2 linked regions of the Kluyveromyces lactis genome follow. The protein of the gene in region 1 interacts with the protein of each later gene in a pairwise test. Links are inferred from orthologs where the notes say so. Each region holds a gene or a part of one and is shown on either strand. Other genes may lie near its edges.

What was found.
Region 2: the proteins of NUP159 (region 1) and KAP95 interact in binary tests that used the Saccharomyces cerevisiae proteins (3 or more experiments, as listed by UniProt). The link is inferred for Kluyveromyces lactis from reciprocal best matches to the Saccharomyces cerevisiae genes NUP159 and KAP95.

What each region holds. Positions count from the first base shown.
Region 1 is NC_006042.1:328,239-330,672, forward strand, and holds the end of NUP159 (FG-nucleoporin NUP159), read right to left. Parts: coding exon 592-2,434; downstream 1-591. Other genes in the region: HIS5 (histidinol-phosphate transaminase), read left to right, coding at 1-523. UniProt on the Saccharomyces cerevisiae protein: Functions as a component of the nuclear pore complex (NPC).
Region 2 is NC_006038.1:508,859-513,169, forward strand, and holds KAP95 (karyopherin beta), read left to right. Parts: upstream 1-1,308; coding exon 1,309-3,894; downstream 3,895-4,311. Other genes in the region: long-chain fatty acid transporter ACB1, read left to right, coding at 161-187, 265-501. UniProt on the Saccharomyces cerevisiae protein: Importin beta subunit that functions in nuclear protein import through association with the importin alpha subunit, which binds to the classical nuclear localization signal (cNLS) in cargo substrates.

The sequences.
Region 1 (2,434 bases):
GGGGTCCTTGGCACCGCTAGCAACAAAGTACGAAAATATTGCTGTTTTACAAACTCTTTCTAAGTCATTTGGCCTAGCTGGAATCAGACTAGGAGTTACGTATACATCTAAAGCTATGTCAAGAGTCTTGAATTCGATGAAGGCTCCTTATAATATTTCTTGCTCGACTGCAGAAGTTGCTTTGAAAGCAGTACAACCAAAAAACTTGAAATTGATGGAAGAGAATGCTGCCACAGTTAAAAAGGAAAAATTGAGAGTGTTGAAGGAGTTGACTTCTTCTCCATATGTTTCCCAATTGGGTGGCCTAGACGCTAATTTCATCTTATTAAACATCAACAATGGAGACAACGCTTTGACTAAGAAGCTATATGAAAGGCTTGCCGTTGAATCAGCTGTTATAACAAGATATAGAGGTAATGAGCCTGGCTGCGCAGGTGGTTTAAGAATCACCATTGGTACTAAGCAAGAAAATGATGTTCTAATTAAAGAGTTCAGGAAACATCTTGCTTTAATAATGGCTTAATTAAGGTTTGAAAAGGTGGATGCAAGCAATTATTTAGCGTATTCAACTGGACCATTTCGTTCTACACATTACGTAGACAGTTTAGATGAGAAAAAATCTCCTAATTGAGCCCTTGTATATAACTCCAAAGTAGTTTCGAGAAGGGGCAACGATGTAGAAGCTGTGTTAATTAATAGATTCTCAGGTTCTAGTTGGTTTGGTTTTTCTGCCGACAATTTTAACACAGAAATTTCTTCTCTTAACGACTGAATCTCTGTTAACAAGTTTTCTCTGCCAATGCCTCCGTTTAATGACAATTGCTGCACAGCATGCAGTGCTTCCTTGGTATTTGTAAGATTGTAAAGCTTTAGTACTTGAATGGATTCTCTAATTTCATCCAGTTTCGAGGAGACTTCTTCAAGTTTCCTCTTTACCATAGTTGAGATATGATGCTGACTCCAAGAAAGTTTCCTGTTGGAATGATTAGATGTCCTGTTGGAGAGTTCAAGAATGTCATATTGGCGTTTTAGTGTCGTGATTAGCATGTCGAAATTAGTTACCGCAGAAGAACTATCTGCTAACCTTTGGTAAGACTGTTTCAATTCGTAGCTTTGTTTAGCCTTGGAAGTAAGGATATCCAAAAGAGTGGCCGCCTCACCAAGTCTCCAGGAGGAGACAATTGGGACAGTTTTCTCAGTACGTTTGAATAAATTTTGGGAATGGTCACCTATAAACTTCCCAATGTTGTCGATATTTGAGCGTAACACTTGAATGTTTGCTAAAACTTGAGCATTTGTTTTTTCAACGGCCTGTACAACTTCATCGGAAGATATTGTACTGAATTCTTTAAGTTCAGCAGTGGAATAGAAAGCACTAGGCATTTCAGGAAGATACCTTTCAGCTATATATTGCTCATCATTTTCAAAGGCTTGTAAAGTAAAGTCTGCACTTTCTTTAGTAAGACTTTGAGTGGAAGCGCTTCCTACAGGTACACTCGCTTGCACATGCTGTGAAACATATTCTTTTGTAGTAGTACCGGATGATTTACTCATTTTGACTGGAGGATAATCTACCACAACTGGTGAAGAAGAGACGCTACCAGATTCTGGACTGACAGTTGAAGATGGTACAATTTCTTGATCCTTTGAAAGTGCTTCCTTTTTCTGTTCTGAACTTGCGAGGTTAGTAGAGGGAGTTGCCACTTCGGGGTCCGGCTCATCACCAGTTTTCTGTTTTAATTCTGGTTCTGGCTCTCTCATAACACTTTCGTTGCTAATAGAATTGACATTAGACAGTGGTGAGGTAATTTCAGAACCATCCTTCTTGAGATTGGCAAAGGAAAATGCGGGAGCCTTTCCTGTATCTTTGGATAAGGAATTTGTGAAGCCCGAAAAAGGTGAGGAATCTTTGTTTTCAACTGCTGTGGATTTCATGAATGGATTGGCAATATTCTCCGTTGAGAGGTTAGCCGCTTTCTTTATCCTATCGGTAAAAGAAGCAACAGACGATCTGGTGTCATCTTCCTCAGTAACGTAAGACGCAGCAACAGGGGTTGTGCTCTCCGCCGATGGGAAAGATCCTTCAGTGAGCAGATCACCTTTGACCTGCTTATCATTTCCTTTGTCTTCTTCTTGCTTTTTCTCCTTTGATACATCTTTAGTATCATCTTTCACTTGTTCTTCATCTTGCGCTTGCTGCTCCTTCTCCTCTTCCTCTCCCTCCTCCTTTTCTTCTTCTTCTTCTCCTTCTTCTTCTTCTTCTTCTTCTTCTTCTTCTTCTTCTTCTTCTTCTTCTTCTTCTTCTTCTTCTTCTTCTTCTTCTTCTTGCCCATCTTTGGTCTCCACTTTTGCTTGTTCTTCGTTGCTTTGCTCAGCTTCATCCTCTTCTATGTCACTGTTTGAGTTCAAAACAGTTGAAGAAGGTTTTGAAGAG
Region 2 (4,311 bases), on another chromosome or scaffold:
TGTAAGCAAAAACTGGAGGAAGTTGTTTTCAGTGAGAAAAAACATATAAATACCTAATGCACAAAATCAAGAGAAGCTTTACACATGGTACTAAACGAAGGATTTGTGAAAGACAAGTGTTAGTTCAATACGTCAGATATCGACACTCACTCAAAACACAATGGTTTCTCAATTATTCGAAGAAAAGGTATGTGGAATCGTTGTTGCAATGGCTTTTGATTTCCCTTAATAATCATACTAACCGCATCTTACATTTATCTGCAGGCTAAAGCTGTCAATGAATTGCCATCAACTCCAAATAACGATGAATTGTTGAAATTGTATGCTCTATACAAGCAAGCAACCGTCGGTGACAACACCAAGGAAAAACCAGGCATGTTCAACTTGAAGGACCGTTACAAGTGGGACGCCTGGGAATTGTTGAAGGGCACTTCCCAAGAAGATGCCGAACAACAGTACATCGAATTGGTTGACCAATTGATCAAGAAATACGCCCCATAGAGCTGGATGGTCTCGCAAGTTATTGCATCATCTAACTAACTATCTATATCTACATATATATTATCCTTGATCCATATAGCTAATGATAATACCCTTATTACTCGGTTTGAAACACGAATTACAAGTCACGTGAACAAGCTAACGCCAACTATTTACCCGGCTATTTGCAGTTGAGTGGCAAAAAATTCTTTCTTCCCTAGCAGTATATAAGTTACCCTCCGTTAAACAGGAGCACGATCCCTATTTTTCTCTTCATTTATGGGGTTCATACATTGTTTTCTAGGCAATATATCCGGGTAACAGACTCTTTTACTTTCCATCTGATTCCACTCCAAATCGTAGCACAAACGCGCTTTACAAGATGCTACACAGCTTTTTCTTATTTTTTGCTTATTCCCAAGCTTCAAAGAATTTCTTTCCTTCACATCTATTTATCAAACAAAAACAACTAGAAAACATTTCGTAAACAAAAGAACTTAGGATCCAAGAAACAGGGAAACATTTCACTTTGTATCCTTGCGTTTAGGTGTCTTGTGCAAGGGAGAACGGTTCGTGAGACACTTGATCGAGAGTTCATACTCAGAAACTCGTTAGTAGGCGCCGAATAATTACAGAATAAAGGAAGATCTAACGTCGCTATTCGATATACTGATACTTTTATAAAGTGAACCAAGTGTGAAAATTTATTATTTGCCGTTTGCTGTTGCAGTTCCTTGTTTTATTTCTATAATTTTGGAGACTGACTATTGAAACGACCCGCTAGGATTTGGAAACACTAGTAAGTTATAATACCCTTTACAAATCGTTATGTCAGCTTCCGAGGTTGCCCAGTTTTTGGAAAACATTATCATTACTCCGGACCCAACGGTCCGTCTTCAAGCGGAGACGACGTTGAAGAAATTATCTAACGATAATTTCTTGCAATTCGCTGGACTTTTGTCTCAGATCTTGGCCGATGTGTCCGTTCGTCTTGAAGCTAGAATTCTAGCAGGTTTGACGTTGAAGAACGAATTGATTTCGAAGAACCCAACAAAGGCCCAGCAGTTTGCTCAACGTTGGTCTACGCAAGTCGATGCAGAGTCTAGACATCATATTAAGCAGTTTGCGTTACAAGCGTTGGTTGATCCAGAGACTCGTGTTGCCAACGCTTCAGCTCAGTTGATCGCTGCCATTGCAGAGATCGAATTGCCATTGAATCAATGGCCAGAGTTGATGAAGATTATGGTAGATAATACCGCTCAAGAACAACCAGAAAATGTTAAGAGAGCTTCCTTGTTGACATTGGGTTATATCTGTGAAAGTGCAGACCAAAGTGATGAAACTTTAATCAATCAATCGAACAACATTTTGATCGCTATCGTTCAAGGTGCACAGTCGAACGAAACTTCTAAGATTGTCAGACTTACCGCGCTTAATGCATTGGCTGACTCGCTTGCATTCATTAAGAATAATATGGAACGTGAGGGTGAAAGAAATTACTTGATGCAAGTCGTATGTGAAGCTACCCAGGCTTCGGATGAAGATATTCAAGCGGCCGCATTTGGTTGTCTTTGTAAAATCATGTCACTATACTATTTCTACATGAAACCTTACATGGAACAAGCTCTATTCGCTTTGACCGTGGCTACTATACAATCATCCAATGAAAAGGTGGCAGCAATGGCCGTTGAATTTTGGTCTACCATCTGTGAAGAAGAAATTGATATTGCTTTTGAACTGTCACAGTACTCCAACCCAGGCTTGGAATCTTACAATTTTGCTCTAGTATCCATCCAAGAAGTGGTGCCAACTCTATTACAGCTTTTAACAAAGCAAAATGAAGATCCGGATGATGATGATTGGAACGTGGCAATGTCTGCTGGTGCTTGTTTGCAACTATTCGCTCAAAACTGTGGTAACTACGTAGTAGAACCTGTCTTGCACTTCGTTGAACAGAACATCACCAGTGACAATTGGAGACAACGCGAAGCGGCTGTGATGGCTTTTGGTTCTATATTGGACGGTCCTGACAAAACTCAATTGACTAGTTTAGTCCATCAAGCGTTACCACCTATCCTCAACCTAATAACGGATCCAGTTTTGCAAGTGAAGGAAACAGTAGCATGGTGCATCGGCAGAATTGCAGACTCAGTCGTTGCTGCTATAGATCCTCAAGACCATCTTTCTGATGTTGTAAACGCTTGTTTGATCGGGTTAAAAGACCATCCAAAAGTGGCTACCAATTGTTCTTGGACGATTATCAACCTTGTCGAACAATTAGCTGATACCCCTTCTTCTCCGATATACAATTATTATCCAGTTCTTGTTAGCGCATTGCTTGAAGCTTCAAACAGGTCAGACAATGAATATAATGCTAGAGCATCTGTATTTTCTGCTTTGACTACTTTAGTAGAGTTCGCTAATGACCAAGTCGGGGAAACTACTACCTCAATTTCCACTTTTGTTTTGGATAAACTTGGACAAACAATGCAAGTGGATGAAGCTCAATTAACAGCTGAAGATAGACAAAACTTACATGAATTACAATCGAACATTTTATCTGTTTTGGCTGCAGTGATTAGAAAGAACCCACAATCTGTTAATCCAGTAGCAGATATGTTGATGGATCTATTTATGAAACTTTTGAGCAAGAATGATACAACATACGTGGAAGATGATGTCTTTTACGCTATTTCTGCTCTAGCATCTGCGTTGGGTAAAAACTTTGAAAAGTATTTGGAAAGTTTCTCCCCATATTTGGTTAATGCGTTAAATCAAGTACAGTCCCAAGTTTCTATCACTGCCGTCAATCTAATTGCTGATATCTCTAACTCTTTAGAGGATGACTTCAAGAAATTCGCTCCATCGTTCATGAGTGTTCTTGGGCAAATGCTTTCTTCTCCAGATGCGAAGAAGGAATTACAACCTGCAGTCCTTTCTGTTTTTGGTGATATTGCCACCAACATTGGATCAGATTTTATACAGTATTTGTCCCAAGTTATGTCCGTGTGCGTCATGGCTCAAAACTATAAACCGAATTATAGCTCTTCTGATGCCCTCGATTATCAATATAAATTATACGAATCAATATTGGACGCATACGTAGGAATAATAACAGGGCTACACGACCAACCAGATGCATTGTTTCCTTACACAGGTTCAATTTTCCAATTTATCAACTTATTGGCTGATAATCCAAGTGTTGCATTAGAAGATTCAATTGCAAGAACAGCAGTCGGTATAGTGGGTGATATTGCTGCCATGTACCCAGACGGAAGGCTCCAACAATTCTATACACAACCATGGATGATTAAGTTTGTAAAGGACGTGAAAACCAATCAATCCTTTTCTCAAAACACTAGAGATACAGCAAGGTGGGCAAGAGAACAACAAAAGTTGCAATCTAACTTGTGATTCTTTTCATTCGCTCTTGTTTGCCTGCCTACTATTAATAACAATACACTGACTTCCACAGACAACTCACTTGCATAATTCACTGCCTTTGACAGTTTATTCACTCCAACCACTGTTCATTGGATCTATGGACGCCAGTTCCCTCATCCTTTTTAATATAAAGAAGTCGACCAGTTCAAATTTCCTTTGATCCACTACTATCATTCTCATTACTCCTACTACTCTTATTCCCTACTCTTCTACTACTTACTACTCTCTTTTATTCTCACTATTGCACTACTTATTATTCTACCCTTGTATTTTATTTAATAACTCATTATTCTGTTTTATTCTCTTCTCTACCTACCTCTTTTATGATACAACTTCTTTCTCGATTTAAAGCAACCTGGAGTTTCCGTTCTAATGTCACAATGGTCA